4 linked regions of the Drosophila melanogaster genome follow. The protein of the gene in region 1 purifies or fractionates together with the protein of each later gene. This does not show direct contact. Each region holds a gene or a part of one and is shown on either strand. Other genes may lie near its edges.

The links.
Region 2: the proteins of qkr58E-3 (region 1) and Syp purify together in Drosophila melanogaster (affinity purification with mass spectrometry, with the first as the bait; one large-scale study listed by BioGRID). This does not show direct contact.
Region 3: the proteins of qkr58E-3 (region 1) and Lrpprc2 purify together in Drosophila melanogaster (affinity purification with mass spectrometry, with the first as the bait; one large-scale study listed by BioGRID). This does not show direct contact.
Region 4: the proteins of qkr58E-3 (region 1) and SLIRP2 purify together in Drosophila melanogaster (affinity purification with mass spectrometry, with the first as the bait; one large-scale study listed by BioGRID). This does not show direct contact.

Annotation. Positions count from the first base shown.
Region 1 is NT_033778.4:22,408,420-22,413,771, reverse strand, and holds qkr58E-3 (quaking related 58E-3), read left to right. Parts: upstream 1-2,226; 5' UTR 2,227-2,322; coding exon 2,323-2,479; intron 2,480-2,538; coding exon 2,539-2,660; intron 2,661-2,720; coding exon 2,721-3,085; intron 3,086-3,143; coding exon 3,144-3,233; intron 3,234-3,375; coding exon 3,376-3,461; intron 3,462-3,751; coding exon 3,752-3,885; 3' UTR 3,886-4,564; downstream 4,565-5,352. Other genes in the region: qkr58E-1 (quaking related 58E-1), read left to right, coding at 432-577; PolE4 (DNA polymerase epsilon subunit 4), read right to left, coding at 1,397-1,683, 1,738-1,918; VepD (Ventrally-expressed protein D), read right to left, coding at 4,744-4,989.
Region 2 is NT_033777.3:20,787,997-20,793,251, forward strand, and holds the start of Syp (syncrip), read left to right. Parts: upstream 1-1,989; 5' UTR 1,990-2,212; coding exon 2,213-2,336; intron 2,337-3,748; coding exon 3,749-3,867; intron 3,868-3,940; coding exon 3,941-4,253; intron 4,254-4,317; coding exon 4,318-4,559; intron 4,560-5,255.
Region 3 is NC_004354.4:1,456,311-1,462,645, reverse strand, and holds Lrpprc2 (Leucine-rich pentatricopeptide repeat containing 2), read left to right. Parts: upstream 1-2,028; 5' UTR 2,029-2,087; coding exon 2,088-4,383; intron 4,384-4,444; coding exon 4,445-5,367; 3' UTR 5,368-5,471; downstream 5,472-6,335. Other genes in the region: Ns3 (nucleostemin 3), read left to right, coding at 68-273, 334-552; CG14787 (uncharacterized protein), read left to right, coding at 1,001-1,783; CG14785 (uncharacterized protein), read left to right, coding at 5,700-6,335.
Region 4 is NT_033777.3:8,648,726-8,652,105, reverse strand, and holds SLIRP2 (SRA stem-loop interacting RNA binding protein 2), read right to left. Parts: upstream 1,023-3,380; 5' UTR 990-1,022; coding exon 714-989; 3' UTR 613-713; downstream 1-612. Other genes in the region: Dhod (dihydroorotate dehydrogenase), read left to right, coding at 1-593; Mkk4 (MAP kinase kinase 4), read left to right, coding at 1,595-1,625, 1,787-2,628, 2,687-2,827, 3,059-3,144, 3,210-3,380.

The sequences.
Region 1 (5,352 bases):
ACAGCAACCAGTAAATCATCTTCATTAATTGGACGACTACTAACATACTCACAAGAAGCCAGAGCCAAAATATTAAAACAATCGATCAAACAATCAAATTACTGAAATTCACACTTTGAAAACAAAACCATAAAACTTCATGGCAAGAAACCCAAAAATATTTGAACATGCTTAAACTATAAAATCCAAGCTGAAAGGTTTGTGGAACAACTTTTTTTGAAACGTGATGAAACGAAATGCATTTTACTCAAAACAATAACGTTTCGTAGGGTGTAGTGCATTCAAAACCGGTTAAACAATATATTTTTCTTTTTTTTACAATGTATATATGCTAAGCAAAAGAAAAACCAAAAACCAAAAAACAGCACCACAGAGACAGAACAAGAAACAATTTAAAGTCTAAACAACAAATAAAATTCTTTTCAAAATAGCAAAACCAAGCAACGGTCGTTCATCATCGTCATATCGACCAACCACCTCGGGCTCGGGATCACATTCATCTGCTCACTACGAAACTGGATCCCGATCTCGTGAAAGCGTGCGATATCGCTCGGCTCCATATCCGAAAATACGTTAACCCATCGATTTTCCAAAACCCCAAGAAACCAACCTCAACAACAACTACAACAACAACAACAACCACAACTAAACAATGTTAAGCGTAAAGATTAAAATATATTCCAACGAAATATCAAAATGTTTGAAGTCAACAATCCAACTATTCACACCTATTAAATATAATATATAAACGAAAATCAAATAAAAAACGTAAATTTTTATTGCAACTGTTGTCCGATATTCAAATTGTGTTTAAAATTAAAACAAGAAACCAATAATGCAACAAATTTTATCCTCAAAAAGATTGTAAAAACAAAAGACATACTTCAATCAACCTAATACTAGTTAAAGCCAATACGAGAAGAGAACTAAACACAAGCGAAAACCCCCCCAAAACAATTAATTTATCAAAGCATAATTTTAGACTAAGCTTGAAAATATTGTTTCATAAGATAATGGAGATAAAACCAACATAAAAAGCAAAATATAAACTACAAATGTATGTGCCCAACGACAAAGTAAGTATCGCCTGCGGACAGAGTATGATTAACAAACAACAAACCACACTATTCAGCAGTTAAATAAATTAACCAAATGCCGGCTTCGTTACAAATTCCGAATAGCAAAGAGTATTGTGAAACGTTAAACGTTGTCGTTTATAATTATGATTTCTTTTTTGTTTTTTTTTCTTTGCGAATCAACAATTGTTTTATAACTTAAATATTATTTTTAACATAAAACCATAAGGACGTTTAGAACTGAATTTGTTTGCCGCTGAATATCCCTAAATAAAGTATAAAAGTATAATCGACAAATCCAGTTTCATTTGTGGGGGTGTTCAAAAGTTCATGGCTCCATCAAGGAATAGCAAACTGTCCACAGCAGAAATGGCCATATCCACGTCCCTCTTTTGTATGGTTTTCTTTTTGGACTGCGCCGTGTAGGTATATGATTCCCGTGACAACGAGGCTATGAATAGTTCCACTGCCTTCGCCACTATGAACACGGCCTCATTGTTGGCCATATGCAGATCCGGATCTAGTTTCATTATGTTCCGTATCCTGGCCAACGGCAGTTGTGTCATCTTGGCTTCGTTATCAGCAGGGGCCTTGTTGCCATTCGTCACTGGAAGGAAAGGAGCCATATAGGAGAAATTCTATCTAAGTGCATCTAACTTACCTGGTTTTTCTGTCAATTGTTCTGTTGTAGATTCTGCCTCAGGATTATCCGGCGATTCCTCGGTGATTTCCAAAGGCTCTTCTGTTTCCGCTAGCTCCGCCTCCTCAGTCTCCATGGCCTGCTGATGCTCCAAGTCCTGTTCTTCCGAGAATTCAGCCTCAAATAGTTCCTCGCTGGCCATTGCGCACTATAAAAATTGAAAACAAACCAAGCGAATGCAATCCAAATACCATATTTTTAGAGATGAGTATCAAGGCAGCCGCCAAAAATATCGATATTGCACCATGTATGAAATCGAAATGGTGGCAGCTCCGCTATCTTCTCGGCGAAGCTCCTTACTAACAGATTTAACTTTTTAAAATAATCTATAGTAATTGTACTACTTCTGTGTTTCAAACACGACATTTTGTACACAGTGGAAAAAATCGACATTTAAACAATCACTATTGAATTAAAAAAGTTGGCAGCCCGAAAACTTCACACGCTTGGCAGCTCTGCCATTATTTTAGTTCATTGGTGTACATACTGTTTTTCAGTCTACACCATTTTTAATTGTAATTTTCTGTAAAGATTGTTATGATAAAAATGGAAACCCCAAGCGAGTTTACTGAGAAACAGCCACCCACCCACGATCACCAGCCGCGTCTTAACGAGGTGGCCCAAAAGTTTCTCGCCGATTTGGACGAGGAGCGCCAGCGATTGTCCGCGGACTTTCCACTTTGCGCACTGCTAATCGACGAGGGTAAAATCAATTTGGCCCTTTTACAGGGTATTTTAATGGTACTAATCCCAATATTGCAGCTGTGGACCGTGTCTACTGCACTGGTCGTATTCCCGGAAAAGAGTTCTACGCAGACGTGTACAAGCAGAAGCCGATGAAGATTACCCAAAAGGTCTTCGTGCCCGTAAAGCAGTATCCCAAGGTGGGTTTATACAATTAGCTGTCCTCTCCGTTCGAAAAATAAATCCGTACCCTTGCGCAGTTCAACTTCACTGGCAAGATCCTGGGGCCCAAGGGCAATTCGCTGCGTCGCCTTCAGGAGGAGACCCAGTGCAAGATTGCCATTAAGGGTCGCAGTTCGATCCGCGATCGTAACAAAGAAGAGCAGCTGCGCAGCACAGGCGACCCGAGATATGCTCATCTTCAGAAGGACCTATTTTTGGAGGTCAGCACGGTGGCCACTCCGGCGGAGTGCTATGCCCGCATAGCCTACGCTCTGGCCGAGATCCGTAAGTATCTTATTCCAGACAAGAACGACGAGGTTTCACACGAACAGCTGCGCGAGCTGATGGAAATGGATCCCGAGTCAGCCAAAAACATTCACGGACCGAATCTGGAGGCCTACAGGTAATCTTACACCCTATGCAGCCTTTGGGCATGAGAATAAAAATATATTATTTTGCAGATCTGTCTTCGACAAGAAGTTTGGAGGCAACAGCAATGGGGCTCCCAAATACATCAACCTGATTAAGAGAGCTGCGGAAAATCCGCCCGAGTAAGTTACTTGTAAAGTATAATTTTGTATTATTTAATGACCCCACCAGGAGTAATGGAACCGAGAGTCCTCGCGTCATAGTAGTGCCTTAAATCCTAGCCAACATCTGTTAACCCAGCAATTAACATTTTCATTTTTATAGAGTCGACGATGTGGAGGAGGTGGCCTATGAGTATGAACATCGTATGCCCCCCAAGCGTCCGCCTACGGGCTATGAGTACAGCAAACGTAAGTTAATCCCAAGCATGCATTCTTTATTTGGGTAGTGCCGGGGTCTATGACATAAGATCGATTTTTCCCCTGAATGCACCAGTTTTTTGGGATGCACCTTTGACAGGAACTTTGGGTTATAGATTAGATTAGATCATACTATCAAAACCAATAACTGTGATTGAGCAAGCTCTCAGATCAAACTATATAATACACTGGAATGATTAATATTATGCAACGATTCACTCCTTTATAGTAATTACATACACGCATAAAATACTACAAATAATAATCAACCAATTTTATAGCACGTCCATCAATAATACCGACAAACGCAGCGGCATATAAACGTCCATATCCGACTGACATGAAACGTATGCGCGAACCGCCCATCAAGTCCTATAAGCCCAATCCGTATACAATACTTAAAAAATATAAATAATAGAGCTCCGGTTGATTTCGTCGCACACCGCTATAAATGAAAACAAAGGACAATGCTTACGTTATAAAATCCATGCTGGGAGCACATTGAAAATACTTTAATCAAGAAGAAAGCAGCATTCAAAATGATGCTATCAATTAATAAACATTAATATTTATAAAACGCGCACTTGCGCTATCAATTCCCACAAACAATATTAATCTTAAATTTGTATATCCATAAATATGTTAAACTGTTGGCATGCCTTTTCTGGACCATTTCAACAGATAATAAGTCAAATAATTCCTATTATGTTTAAATTATGATTTCCCGAGTTCGTAATTTTCTATGAATGTAATAAAATGATACGCATTGAATGAATTTAATAAATTCTCTGCAATCAGATCTAACTATCCTATTCTTTTAAATGACTCGACCCCTCATTTACCATGAATATATGCATTACGTAATTAAACAATTGTCTCACTAGCAGTAGAATCAAGAGGTTTATATCTAATGAAATAAAACCGTGCGAACTTATCACATTGTTTAATCAAAAAAAAAAAAAAAAAAAAAAAAAACGAAATGAAGATCACATCAAGACCTTAAAGTGCGTCTAAAAATAAGTTAATAAACTATTATAAATTTATAAATGAAAAAGAAAAAACATTGAATAAACATATAAAGAGTTTGCATAACTAAAATATTTCAGGTTTTTTCAAAGTATTATTTTATTTTAAATCTGATGGGTAAGTAGCTTAAGTTTAACTGTTAATGTCTAAAGTAAGGCTATAAAGTTAATAAAGGCTTAAAACAAATGTCTGTCTATCTTTGGATATATTTTCTATCAGGGATATGGTTTTCTTTTGTGTTGTTCAACTAACATTGATATTGCAAGGGCCTCCCAGTGAAGCTGGCTATCCAGAACTTCTTCCTTATCTCATATTCATTGGCTTCTGTGGAGCGTGTATGTTCCTGGGCTTGTAATCTTAGCAGGATTCTCTGATAGACCTCATACGCAGTTTGGGGCTGTCCACAACGACTGTTGCCGCACTGCTCAGAGAACTGTGGCTCCTCGACGTAAGTATCCTCGATCGAAAAAGGATTCTCGCTGTGCGGTATCATCTGAATGATATGGATGTCTCAGGCCTGATTCTTGACACAACTGATAGGCGAGCACTCACCTTGGCTTTTTTCACTGACGCTGATTTACTCCGCTGACTAGATGTGTGTCCTGGCCGCTATGCAGTTGACAACTGATCCGGAAGGCGAAGTAGTCGCTTGAGGCTTGTGCCACCACCATAAGTACCACCCTTAGAAGCCACCATATGGTTGCCAGGCCCTGCGCACGTTGCGGAATTCCTCCTCCCACTCTTGCGCCGCGTTGCAGCTGCAGTGAGCTCCTACAAGGACCTCAGCGCTTTGTTGTTGTCCTGGTCGCGCGTGTGTTTATCCCCTGCCACTCTCGGAAAGCAAGCCACCGAATCC
Region 2 (5,255 bases), on another chromosome or scaffold:
CTTGGTTCGCCTGCACTTTGCAGGGAATTTGTTCGTTGTCGCAATGCCATAAATTGTGCAACTTATGCGGCCAACTGGCCGCCTTCTCTAATACCCCATCCCATCAACCCCCTTGTGGGGCTATAAATTACAAGAAGGCATTTGCCACACTTCCGTTTGGGGGCCTTCATTCAGGTCTGCTGCACTGTCTGCACTTTTCACTTCGGCTAGTCTGGAGTTATTTTTGTGCCTTAAATCGGCTTAACTGGCCTGGCCGGCGGAGTTGTAGTTGCGGCTCAGCTGGGCCCGAAGGGTTCTGAAAATCAATAACCCCCAGCAAGGTTGTGCTATAGAGAGCCCCATTGTTGTCGCCGTTGTCCATGGCAATAACATTTAAATGGCTAGGGCTTCTTGAAATTCAAATTGCGAAAGCACAAACTTTAACACTTCCTCAATGCCACGGCGAGCAACCCCTGGACTATAGCCAGCCGCCACCATCCTAAAGATACTCATAGTTTCTGCAGTCTACAGTCAGTCTGGCTTCGGTTGACAGAAACAGGGGCGGAGTTGCCAATTTGCCATTGGGGAGATCTTGTAATTCTAGACCAGACTGCTGCCGGCGGCGACGTATTGTCTGGCAGACGGACGCGAGTGACGAACAAATGTGGCAAAACGATTTATTTGGCTTTATCAGCAATTTTTGATTCTCCTTTGTCTCCCATTGAAAAAGCGCCGCATTAAGTGCTCCGCCTGCGTTTGCGGCGATTTGTCATATCGCTGATTTACTAACCTTACACCAGGCATTATCTCTTGGCAAAGGAGGCCGAATCCGAATCCGAGTCCGGAATGGCGGGGGAGAGGTGGAATCCGGGGCGAATCACCCCTGCTAGCAGCTAGAGGGTGACTTTTTCTGTTTTTTTTTTTTTTTTTTTTATACAACCGAGGGTGTAACTAACCGACACAAGTGCAAGAAGGCAGGATATGCCAGGATATGCATGTGTGTATGTATGGCTGGCTGTGTATGTTTGCGCATATCGCCGGCATCAACATCAAATTTATTGAGGTAGTTGCCAAGCGGCTCTGGCAAACAAAACGAGCATGCAAAAAGGAATGTTCTTTAACATGCAAACGTTTCTTTGTTTTTCCCCCATTTTAGCCGTGCTTCTATTTTTTCTGTACGAGTATATGCATGGGACAGAGTTGCCACCGCTGGGGCAAACAAGCGGCGACTACCCTGTTGCCATAACAAACATGCATAAAAAATGATGACTCGGGCTGGAAAAAAAAAGCACACACACAGTCCGGCAAGTGTTGCAAATTGAAAGCGGTTTTAGGCCAGGAGCCGTCACCTGAATAGCTTTGAGTTCGGGAGACCCAAGAATAAAGACTTAAATTGGCTGTGGTATGTGGCCAGTCATCCTGTTTTTTTTTTTGTTCAGTATGCACTTCCATATGCCATAGAAGCATTAGCATGGCAACTCAGCGTATAAGGAATACCATTTTATCGATATTTCACTGCAATCCTAATGGAATTTCCTGCATTGTTGTCTACTCCTTTCGACTGGCTCAATATCCATTGCCCATGTGTTTATTATTCATTTACTCGCTGTGCGCCGATAAAGCGCTTTTCCTGATTTTCCCGCCTTTCTCGCATCGCCAGCGCAACTTCATGACGCTCCCCCGGTGTTTGCCCTTTTGTGGGCTTCCCTGCGGTTGTCGCCAACACTTTTCACTTACAGCTCGCTGCGTTTTCGCGCCCAACAATCTAGATATACATACATGCATATAAATACATAGTATTTATGTGTTGGAGGGGCCTAGATAATGGGATATGTTTTTGTTGTTACTGGTTGACTGGTTCCGCTTATTGTTATAGTTGTCATAGCGCACATGGCATTCTGATGGCCCCACTGCAGTTGTCATAAATTTGTGGTCTTAATACTTGCACCACACCATTTTCAGGATTGCCACCTCAACAAAGTGGGTTCGGTTCGGTAACCCTTTCTAAATATCGATGCGTAGTTGGCCCTGCTGGGCGATTGTCAAAAGTTATTCCGTAATGTTTTTTGTTTCTATTCAGTTGTGAAAATTTTTCTCGTCTCTCGAATCGTTTCGGAACTATTGATTTTTACTTCAAAAATAAGAAAAAGCGAAAACAAATTCATTCACATTTGCAATCGAAATTCCAAGTCGCCTAAGGAAATTGAAAATTGTTAAATTGTTGCATTACGCGATGCTTTCCCAGATGGAAGCCTCCAAAGTGCAGAAGGATGAAGGGGGCGGCGAGGCTCTGAGCCGCACGATCCTCAAAACACCGTCTTCATTCAGGACCCCCAGCCCAATTCCCAGTTGCAGCAGTGAGTATTCCACGCCGCTGCAAAACACCCAATTGCCCCCGATATCAATCGCAAAGTATTTCAATGTCAGCGAAAACGAATCGAATGCCGGAGAATTAATGCGAAATTCGCAGAATGCCAGTGGAGAGAGCAGCAACAAACAGAAAAGATTTTAGAAATGTTCGGGTTTGCCCATAATTTTTGTGGGTCGCGCTCTATCGCTGGTTTGGCTCTCCCATTCTTGAACGATAGAGCTAGCTGATATTGCTGCTGTTTTTTTTTGTTTTTGTTTTTTTTTTTTTGCACATGTTACGCAATTATCGCTCTCGGCTAGTTGGGGTCCCTCGTTTTTATTTTTGCAGCTTGCTTCGTTTTTGTTTGAACGTCAAACACACACAACTTTCTATATGTATGTATGTACATACACATCGTACATATATATAATATACATACGAATATACGTGTACACGCGAATCAAAATAGCATTTGCTGATAGTGTGGCTGCTAAGGTAGCTTTCTATGCTGCGGCCTGTATAGGTGAGCGTTTGCCACTTGACAACTGTGGAACATTTGCATTTTCATTATGAGTGTGCCATAAATATTCATTTATGATAAATGCCTGTGTGCAGCTGCGGCTGCAATTGCAACGAAAGCGAACAGCTCTTGTTTCCGCAGCTCAACTGAATTTAGCCACGGAACAGATCATAAATAAATGTATTAGGCTGATTTAACATAGCAAATCACGTATACTACTACTTTTAGTCAATAAAACTACTAATACTAATCCAAGTCTAAAGTCCAGTAGCTTCAAACACGGCAAAAAGTGAACCCACTAGATTCATCAGCTGTTACCAGGGCAACTAATACGTCACGCTCTTGTGAGCGTGGCCGAACACATCGCGTATACGCAACACGTCACGCACAATTCGCAAATCGCGCCTCTTTTCGTTTGTTTACATTTTGGCCAATACGTTTTCATGCGGCTCCCTCTTTCTCTTCTCGTTTGCCTTTCTCCTTCTCTTGCCTTTCTCACGCACTTTTCGGTGCTCGGATGCGCGCTCTTCTGGATCGCAAATTTGTGCGTTTCGCATTTGTTTGGAGTCAATGAACTTTGTTGCTCGCTTTGTTGTCTCCTCTCTCTCCCATGCTCCCTGCTTTATCGCACTCCCCGTTTATCTCATTCCGCGAGTGCGTGCGACGGTGCGTAAGTTGCCAATTTTTCGTATTTCTCGTATTTCGCACATTCTCGCGACCCATTTTTTACCAAGCGCTCGCCGTTTGTGGCTATTTTGCGTTCGTTGAACTCTACAAGGTGATTTTATAGGTCGCACAATTTGTGGGTGCTCACTTGAATGTATGTTTCAAGAATATTAATATTTATGTATAAATACTCAATATATATTTATAACATTTTATTATCGTTGCACTTGCAGAAATGGCGGAAGGTAATGGCGAACTGTTGGATGACATTAACCAGAAAGCCGATGACCGTGGCGATGGCGAGCGTACAGAGGATTATCCCAAGCTGCTGGAATACGGTCTGGACAAGAAGGTGAGTGCTTTGAGAACCCAACACCACATGCCAACTATTACCAACATTTGCCACATGCAACATATGCTCCTAGGTCGCCGGCAAACTGGATGAGATCTACAAAACCGGCAAGTTGGCTCACGCCGAGCTGGACGAGCGCGCCCTGGACGCGCTCAAGGAGTTTCCCGTCGATGGTGCCTTGAATGTGTTGGGACAGTTCCTGGAATCGAACCTGGAGCACGTGTCAAACAAGTCCGCCTACCTATGCGGCGTGATGAAGACGTACCGACAGAAGAGTCGAGCCAGCCAACAGGGCGTGGCCGCGCCCGCAACTGTCAAAGGTCCCGACGAGGACAAGATCAAGAAAATCCTCGAGCGCACCGGCTACACATTAGATGTGACGACAGGTGAGAAACATTTTCAAGTACTGGAGAAACTTTTATCTAATACTATTACTTATACCGTACTCAGGTCAGCGTAAATACGGCGGACCGCCGCCGCATTGGGAGGGAAATGTGCCAGGCAACGGTTGCGAGGTTTTCTGCGGCAAGATACCCAAGGACATGTACGAGGACGAACTGATTCCGCTATTCGAGAACTGCGGCATAATCTGGGACCTACGACTCATGATGGACCCGATGACGGGCACAAATCGTGGTTATGCATTTGTCACATTCACAAATCGCGAAGCGGCCGTCAATGCAGTGCGACAGGTATTTAAGCCAACCACAGATCATCCATACCACCAACCACCAGTCCAGCCCAGCCCAGCCCACCTGAAAACCCAGTCTCCCCAATGAAAACCCCACCCCATCCGACCCTGACCACCAAATCAGTTTGATCCCCGCTTCAATGTTTTTACGTATTGCTAACTCTTAAGACCTATACAAATATCCTATATATATACATATTTAACGTATTGTATCCACATATTTACTATCGTGTTATAACACATCGGATGAAGTAGGAACAGTTATGCGGCCAAAGCAAAATTCAAATATTTGAAATTCTCCACAGCAAGAGCGAAAAATTACCGATTTGATCACAACCGATTTGGCGCTTTTAGATCCGACCATGAGAAATTCTGCAATTCCATTTAGTTTTTAACGTATGCTTACTTTACCTCTCTGCCTTTGCTATTAAGAATTCGAACTATGGGCAACGCTATCTGTCTCACTCTCTCGCTGTCTCTCTCTACTTGATCTTTCTGTAACTTATGTAATGCATGTCCCGTCTCCTATGAGTTGTAATCTTGATTTACGCAAACGAATCTCTACAGCGCCCTAAAATCGTTCAAATTGCAAGTTTGAAAAGAGTTCTCTCCTCTTCGAATAAAAGATTTGGCCTCCTCCCTGATAAATCACACAACCCCCTACCCTCCTCTCTCTCTCTATCGTCTCTATATCTGT
Region 3 (6,335 bases), on another chromosome or scaffold:
GTAAGTGCCAATGCTTTGCGCACGCATTTCAGTATTTCACAACGCACTCTTTCTCGCTCTTTTCCAGACAATCGCGGTTTTATGACCTCCAACGGGCAGCCGGATCAGGCGCGTTCCGCCAGGTATGTGCTTAAAGACTACGTCAATGGCAGACTGCTCTACGCCATGAGCCCGCCCTCTGTACCGCAGACCGAGTATCACACCTTTCCCGAACGCCAGCGCAGGGTCATCGAGGAATCACAGCTGCCCGGCCAACAGCAGCGAGCCATGCGGGTGAGATTTGCCCTTTGCACTAGACGTGATTCCTTTGCTAACTGATCGCGTTTTCCGCAGATCAACAAAAGCACGTCCAAGGAGCTAGACAACCAATTCTTCTCCGACAAGCCTACGCACGCCCACGTCAAAGGACGCACTAACTTCCCTAACGTGCGCCTGGCCAACGACGGGTCCCTAGTAGCCGGCAATGATCCGGCGGCCAAGCCCTGGCGTCATGTGAAGAAGGAGAGGCGCGAGAAGCTGCGCAAAAAGTTCTCGCACCTGGACGAGCACTGATTGTAGCCCATTAGTTATTTATTCCGAAGGGTGTGTCTAAGAGGCACTTGTACATTTTAAGCATTAAACCTACGTATATACATATATATTAAAGTCCCCCCGACTTCGAGAGTTTGAAGGCCCACAATCTCAGACTGAAAGAGTTATATTGCGCAACTAGCAGATTGAGAGAAACATAGATAAGCCATCTGATGGCCCAGCCTGGACACAACGATTAACACAAAGATAGCATATATTTAGCATACACACCAATGAAAGCAAACTGTTGTTGGAATGGCGCCCCCAATTGAGTTTAAGAGATGCGTGAATGGAAGGTAATTTCGAGATGCGGAGGAGCGCAGTTGCGCGGAGAAAAGAAGCCTGCACTTTGACCGCGTGATAAGCGCAGATGCTTACGGCTCTTGTCTTCTATCACTTGGCCACAGTCTCTATCACGCAGTCTTCAGCGATGGCCACAAACGAGAGCTGCAAGCACTTCAGGGAGCTGGTCGTCGAACAGCGTTCTGGGCTGCTCCACATACGCTTCCAGCGGCGCTGGCAACGCCGAACCCTCTACGAGCTGATGCGCGCCCTGGACCTGGCGAGTGCAGACGCCGCCGTTAAGGTGGTCGTGCTCTCGGGCGAGTTTTCTGCAGCATGTGGCGGTGAGATGGAACCGTTGGCTCTCAAACAGGGTCTGGAGAATAGGAGTAGGCGTACCGCTTCCCACGAAGAAGCTGTGGGCAGTGGTGATGCCGAGGAGCAGTACATCCATGAGAAGGCGGCCAATTTTGTGATGCGCTCGCTGGCCAAGAAGCTGCTTGTGCACCGCAAACTCCTAGTGGCTTTTGTGGAGAGGCAGTGCGTCGGTCTGGGCCTGAGCGTGTGCAGCCTGTGCGATCTGGTCTTCGCAACGGAGTTATCTGCCTTTGTGCCCGCTTTCTCGCACCTGGATCCCTGCACCAAGGTGGGTCCCGGCTGGACTGTGCCACACGTCCACTGGCTGCTTCGTCTGGGCGATCAAGCGAGCTCCAGCATTGCCCTCCAGTGTGGCCTTGTGGCCAGTGTGGTGCGAGAGCCGCAGGAGTTTTGGCACCGCGTCGACCAATACTTGCGCTTGCCTTCCGCCTCCCTGTTGGCGACAAAGCGCCTCCTGTTTCGTCCCTGGCAGGACTCCCTCTTGGCCGAATTGCGCGAGGAGGGCACTCCGCTGGCTGCGCAGCGACGCCGCTTGGCCAGATCCTCGCTGTAGGGTTGCGCTTCCAGATCCGTTGAATCGATTAAGTAAATAAATAGCGATTATAAAATAATGACATGTCCCCATGGTATTTCTTTTCATTCCTTTCATTGGAGCTCCATGACTTAACTTAAACTTTAAATCAAAATCTGCAACGGAAACGGGTATGCATATACAGATGGGCAGCACTGTTTTCGATATCTTTCGACTGGAAGGCACAGCTGATTGCCGGCGCGTGTTGTTTTTTTTTTGTTGCTCGCCGCAAAACTGCGAAAGTAAAATCTCGTAATTTTGGGGAAGATTAATTAACTTGGGCAAAATGCAGCGAGCACGACTGTTGCGGAACGTGTGGCTCTGCAGGCAGCGCTTGGGCCATCTGCCAGGACGCAGCGCTTCCTCCGCCAGCCTGGCATTCCGTTATGCAACGAAGCCTGCGGCGCCAGCGGTGCCGTTCTCGCTGCTCCAGATGCGATCCCTGGGAACGGGTGGCGTCCTCAGTGCGGTGGAGCGAAGAAGCCGGCGCCCCGCCTCCTCCTCTGAAAAACCGAAAGCCAGCGTGGCGGATGCGTGGACACAGCTGGAGGCGTACTACCGGCAGCACGATCTGATCAACTTTGAGCACTGCCAGCGCCTGCTGGAGCTCCTGCAGGAGTCTGCGTCGCCGCTAGGAGTCGGCATCGAAGAGGTGCACTTCCTTCTAGGGTCCTGTGTGCCCGAACTGCTTCCTGCTCAGAGCAGCCAGGAGCGTCTTCAGCTCTTCAAGGGACTCTGGGCTCAACTGATCAAGTTGGGCCAGCCCACGCTGGCACATTACCACACGAAGCTCCAGGTGCTGCGCCAGAACCGTTTGCCTCTGACTGACTATCGCTCGTTGCTGGCGGAGATTGCCGTCTACCATGGAGCAGCCGATTCCACCTTGTACGGCGCTCTTTTGGACGTGGCCGGCGCCGCCGGAAACATGCGCATGGCCACCGAGATTTTGTCGGAGATGCGCGAGCGCAGCCTCGCCCTCACGGAGCACAACTTTCACGCCCTGCTTTTGGGCCACGCCCGCAGCGGTGATCTGCCCGGGGCGGAGTCCGTCCTAGCCAGCATGCGGGCCGCAGGAATACAGCAAGGCAGCAGCACTCAGGCCATTTGGTTCGAGGCTCTGCTGGAAAACGGTCAGTTGGCACAGGCCAAGGAGCTGCTGCAGGTGGAGCACGGATTCACCGCCCCTCAGCTGCTCCAGATGCTGCGGGGTCTGCTCGCCAGCAAGGATGTCGACACGGATCTAATCCAACTGCTTGTCAAGGAACTGCCCCGCGAGTTTCTAACAGGTATCGACCTGCCGCCCGCCATCAGAAGCCTGTGCATTCAGCTGGTGCACCAAGGACGCACCGAAGTCGTCATACAGCTCGTAGGTGCGTTGCCCGCTCCGAAGTTCGAGTTGCAGAATCAGAACGTGGATGAGTACGGTGCACTTCTGCTGCAGGAGTTCTTCCGCGCCCAAGTTCCGTTGGACCAAACAATCCAGTTCGCCGGTCAACTAGTGCAGCGGAACCAGAACGTCCGCGCCCTGCATTTGGTGGCGGAGTTGGCCCTTCGCCGTCAGCCATCATCCGCGCTACGCTGCCTGGAGGATCTATCTGCAGCCGGCGAGGAACTTCGTCCGCATTACTTCTGGCCCCTGATCTTGCACCATTACCGGCGGGAGGGCGAAAGCGGCATGCTACGCCTGGTTTCTGAAATGCGGCGCCTGCGCGTTGAGTGCGACGAGGAAACGTTGCGGCACTACCTGTTTCCCCACCTGCGCCAAACCCTGGTGCAGCCCTTGGAGGCCGTGAAGGCACTTGAATCGGCGGGGGTCAAGCCTTCCCAGACCCTGTGCCCGGTTGTGAGCCACTTGCTGCAGCAGCATCAGATGTCCGAGGTGCTGGACTTGCTTGATCGGTATCCGACACGCTTGGACCTGGCCACGCTGCTCCAACCACTTTCTTCGCTGGCGGTCAATGCCCGTGCCACGAAGCGTTTCGAGGTATTTGCCAAAGTGATCCAAGCCCTGCAGCAGAAGGCACTCAAACGGGGAGAAGATTTTGTGGGCTCCTTGCTGCTGCAAATGACTGGACCTCAGACGCGTCTGCGCCAGGATGCCACCTCGTTGCGACGTTTTCTGCACGAACTGAGACGCCTAGAGCTACAAATCTCACCCGCTGCCTCCGAAGCTCTACTCTCCGTGGTCCGGCACGCCACTGATGACGTTGACCTCATCCAGGATCTGGCCAAAACGCTGCAGAAGATGAAAAACCCACAGCTCGCCCTGCCAGCTGACACGGTCTCGCTCCACGGAGGCTTCATCAAGCACCCGCGCGACATGAGCATAGACGAGCTCGAGTGCCACCTAGTCGAGCTGGAGTCCAAGCAGCTGAACCCGCGAGGCGTGTTGCGTCGCTTGCTGCAGCTCTCGGTGCGCAGTGGGCGCTTGGAGCGCGCACAGCAGCTGTTGGCCAAGTGCCAAGTTCTGAAGGTTCAGGAAAGCGCAGGCATGATGGCCTCCATATTCGACCTACACATCAAGCTGCGCGACTTGCCGCGCGCCCAGGAGAGCTTGGAGCGACTGAGCAGCATGTATCCAGGTACCTAACAACTTACTACTAGATGTGAACTGCATTAATCCGCATACCGTTCTCTCTTAAGCCTTTCAGATTGACGAGCACAAAGTGATCGACTATGCCGCCCTCCTGGTCCAAGGCCAGCAGCTGGAGGCCGCAAAGCAGCTGCTCCAGCGACGCGCGGAGCAGCATAAGGTTGTCGGTGGCGACTATGTGATGAAGAACGTATGGCAATTGCTGACCAACGTGGGCCAGCTGGCCGCCTCTTCACATGCAGGTGGCGAGAGCTCCAAACAACTTAACCAGACTCGCGAGTGGTTGGACTTCCTCAGGGGTCTGGGCTACTGTCAATCGCAAAATGCCCTACTGGGACCAGTGGTCCGCGAGTGGCTGTTGAAGGGCAACTTGGACGCTGCGGTGGCCGAGTTTCAGCGACTGGCTAACACTCACAAGCACACGCCTCTGCAGTTCGAGCTCTTGTCCCTGCTGGTGCGACTGGGCAACGGGGACGAGCAGGAGCTGACCCGTTTTCCCGGCGTCACGGCCGAGTCCGCGCAGCAGCACCTAGCGGTGGTTACTGCGACTGTGAGTCGCATCCACGGAGCGGCCAATATGAACAGCGCTCTGCTGCTCGCCCTGGCCGAATCCGGAAAGGAGACACAGCTGCGCCGGCTGATCATCAACCCAGAGTTCCGCATCAACCACGAGCTCCTCGTGAAGAATTGCGAGCACTTGGGACAGGAGGGCGCTGTGCGGACGCTCCTGCGGCTGGCGCGCGGAGTGAGGGGTGTCCAGCGGACCATAGACGAGCAGAAGATCTACGACCTCCTGTTGGCCCAGTTCTGCCGTAGCAACGACTACGAGGCGGCGTTGGATCTCTTTGAGCGCTTGGAGGCCGACGACGAGCTGAAGGTGTCGCATGAGTTCCTTCGCAACCTTGTGCAGCTGCTGCAGGTGAACCAGGTTGAAATTCCCAGTACAATCGCCCTGCGCGCCCACGTTAGATAGCCGGGCGACGAGATAGATAGATCGTCGCTCTTATCCTTAGTTATACACTTGGTATGTATGTACACACATAAATTAGTGCAGTAAATACGAGACGGTATACCTGCAAGTCTGAAAGATCTTTTATAGCTTCTGGGTGTCCTGGTGCCACGTCTAGTAGGCCTGGCTTTTGAAACCTATTGTCATCTGGAATCTGTGCTCCGAAACGGTCACAAAGTTTTCACTCGTAGCATACAACAGTCTCCTAACAGCTTCTCCGAAACCCACTCCCAATCTAAATTTTAGTTTTTATTCGCGTTCAATCTGTGCAAGTTGCAACCCCTCCCTATCCAACCATGAAGCGGCTGTCCCGACGTCCGGTCTCCGATGAGCAGAAGGCCCAGATGGGCAACCAGATTCATGAGCAGGGCGCAATAGAGGTATTCATGTCGGTGGCCACCGTCTCGCCGCTACTCCGAACGCGGGTCCTTCCGCAGCTAAAGGATCAACAGGATCAGCTGAAGGACAAAAAGCAGGACCGCAGGCCGAAACCGGAGCCAGAGAAACTCGAGAGCGGCGCTCAGGGCGACGCCGGTTCCGCTTCCTCGACGTCGGCCCACGCTGTAAAGCTCTTGCCAATCGAGGGAGATCCAGCCAAGCTGAAGGCGCTGACCAGCCGCCAGCAAATTGCCAGCCTGCTCAATCACCTCGGCGACGGCGCAGAGGGCGATGGCGAGGCCAAGCAGATCGTGATGGAGCTGCTCGGCAGCGGGGTGCAGCCGCACTCGGCCATCGAGCGCGTTTCCGAACAGCTGTTGCACGTGCTGCGGGAGCAGACTCTGATGGAGGCCGGCATATTCGTCGGCAATGAGCGGTATCGCTTCTTTAAGGGCGTGCTGCAGAACTACGCCAAGATATACGCGGCGCGCAAATTTATAGATAAGCTGCCGAAGCTAGATCAGCTTGGCCCGGATGCGGGTGCGGAGCGCGAG
Region 4 (3,380 bases), on another chromosome or scaffold:
CAGACTACCTGGTCATTAATGTGAGCAGTCCGAACACCAAGGGCCTGCGCGATATGCAGAGCAAGGAGAAGCTAAGAGAGCTCCTGGAACAGGTCAACGACACGAAATCCTCCCTGGATAAGAACAAGAATGTGCCTATACTCTTGAAACTTTCGCCGGATCTATCTTTGGACGACATGAAGGACATCGTGTGGGTAATCAAGCGCAAGAAGAGCCGCGTGGATGGCCTGATCGTTTCAAACACCACGGTGTCGCGGGAAAACATCGAAAAGAACAAGCTGGCCGAGGAAACTGGCGGATTAAGTGGTCCTCCACTCAAGGCCCGCTCCACAGAGATGATCGCCCAGATGTACCAGCTCACCGATGGAAAGATTCCCATCATAGGCGTCGGCGGAGTGGCTTCCGGCTATGATGCATACGAAAAGATCGAAGCTGGAGCTTCCTACGTCCAAATCTACACGGCTTTAGTGTACGAGGGACCCGCTCTTGTGGAAGACATTAAGGCGGAGCTGTCGGCGCTGATCACACGGCTGGGTCACACTAATGTTGCGGACGTGGTGGGCACCAACAGCAAGTTCTACTTGCCCAAATGAATCAAAGATGCCACGATTTGAAGCAAGTGCTGCATTCATTTGTGTAAAACTAAGCTGTTAACAAACATTTCTCATGCTTTTCCTTTGGTCTAACCAATAAATCATTAAATTCTTCATTGATTAACTCTGAGGACTTTCATTCGCCCGCTGGACTGTGAGCACTCGTCCATCGAGGAAATGGGTGTTCTGGTTGCTGGCGCTGTTGAAGGCATCCCGTTGGCTGAAAACCACAAAGCCATAGTGCTTGGACAGGCCCAGTTGCCGGTCAAAGACCACCTCCGCGTTGGCCACGTGCCCGTACTTTGAGAAGTAGGTCCGCAGTTCCTTGCTACCTATCGTCCATGGCAGGTTGCCGACGAACAATTTGTAGCTGCTGCGAACAAATCCGCTGGACATGATTATGTATGTTTTAATTTTCTGGTTTTAAATCACTGGTGATTGTGCATTGATTTTAAGGTGGCGCAGATTGGTTTATGTAGGCGTCGACGTCACTTATTGACGAAATGTAACTTTTCAACTAGTAAAAACTTTAACAAAGCTGGGATTAATTTGTGAAAAATAGAAACTCAAATCTCTTGGTTTTAAAGAAATAATTATTTATAGGTGACATTTTTATATTCGTTTTATTACCCACCTCACTACTTTTGCACCTTGCAGGACTGCTTATCGCAAGCTAGTGCGCATACTATCGATGGCTATCGATTGGCCGCAAATAATCAATGTTTCATCTCTAGCTCTTTTAAGTTTTGGTTGCTATTTATGTAAATGTTTAGCGAAATTGCGGAAAAAGTGCATATCAGTGCGCTCGATTGCTGAAAAAGTAGTTGCGTTGCAAACGGCGAAGAGCCCATCAAAGGCGGCCCAGTAACCAGGCGATCGGAGGGCCAAAGGAGCATCAAGTCGACGTGTTGTATTCGGGGCGCGGCGCCTGCAGAAAACGGACAAAACATCCTTAGGACAGCCACACAAAGGCGCATCGATACTTTCAGCCACCACACACAATGGCCGAACGACCGAAAAATTTGTTTGCAAGTGAGTTACCCCTTTGGTCTCGAACCGCCCACGCAGGTCATACACATGCAGCCGAAGAGGACCACATACTCGCTGGGTGACGCATAGTTTGGAAATCTGGTGCAGCGGCGATAAGCCATCTATGAAGCCTCCTAAATTCTCCCATTTCCCACACATTCCAGCCGGATCCAGTCGCTCCCGCAATCCCCCGGATCAGCTAAGCCTGAATAATCTTAGCATACGCCATCCGCCCTCGTCCACGTCGTCCACTTCTTCGGGATCCACCTCCTCGGGCTCAAGTTCCTCATCACAGCACAACCATGTGACCCGCTGTTTTGGTGCCCAGCAGCCACAGCAAACCCCGCCGGTGGCCAGCAGTCAAGTGCCACCGGTGCCGGCAGCATCGAGCAGCAGCGCTGCCGATCGTCACCGGGAGCGAATTCGCCAGCAGGCCTGTGGCAAGCTACAGTTTGGTGAGGGCGGCGCTAATACACACACATTTACTTCAGACGATCTCGAGGATGAGGGCGAAATTGGACGCGGTGCATTTGGGGCAGTCAACAAGATGACCTTTAAGAAATTGGACAAGGTGATGGCCGTCAAGCGCATTCGATCCACCGTAGACGAGAAGGAACAGAAGCAGCTGCTCATGGATCTCGAGGTGGTCATGAAGTCCAACGAGTGCATTTACATTGTTCAGTTCTATGGGGCGCTTTTCAAGGAGGGTGACTGCTGGATTTGTATGGAGCTGATGGACACCTCTTTGGACAAGTTTTACAAGTACATCTACGAAAAGCAGCAGCGCCACATTCCAGAGTCTATACTGGCTAAGATAACAGTGGCCACGGTCAATGCGCTGAACTATTTGAAGGAGGAGCTAAAGATTATCCATCGGGATGTGAAACCGAGCAACATTCTGTTGCACCGTCGCGGAGACATAAAGCTGTGCGATTTTGGTATTTCGGGTCAGCTGGTCGACTCTATTGCCAAGACCAAGGATGCGGGCTGCAGGCCCTACATGGCGGTAATGATTGTCATTTGATTTCACAACATTTTTACCGCAATTGTATGCATTTGTGCAGCCGGAGCGCATTGATCCAGAACGTGCCAAGGGCTACGATGTACGAAGCGATGTTTGGTCATTGGGCATCACATTAATGGAGGTGGCGACTGGTAATTTCCCCTATCGTAAATGGGACTCTGTTTTCGAGCAGTTGTGCCAGGTAAACATAAAACATTTTAATAGGATAGTTTTTCTTTTAAAATGAGATACAAATATCGTTCGTCTTGTTCCCTTTCGTCATTAGGAATAATCTAATAGAGATAAGCATTGACTAATGACTCATTTTATTTGCTGATTGTCTTATCGTATTGTCTTTCATATAGTAAATTATCATAATATCTGAAGCTAATTTTCTTTGGCTAATGACTTTTTCATAATATTAACATTCAAGGTTGTGCAAGGCGAACCGCCGCGACTTTTGACATCCTATAACGGCATGGAGTTTTCCAAAGAGTTTGTGGACTTTGTCAATACTTGGTAAGCACCAGTAAAGCCTAGAAAACTTAATAATAGTAACTAATAAAGCATTATTATCGTTTTAGCCTAATTAAAAAGGAGAGCGATCGACCCAAGTATAGCCGTCTGCTGGAGATGCCCTTCATACGTCGTGGCGAGACGAGCCACACTGATGTTGCCGTGTATGTGGCTGATATACTGGAGTCGATGGAGAAAGACGGCATTACGCAGTTTACGGCCAATCAGCAGGCGGAGAG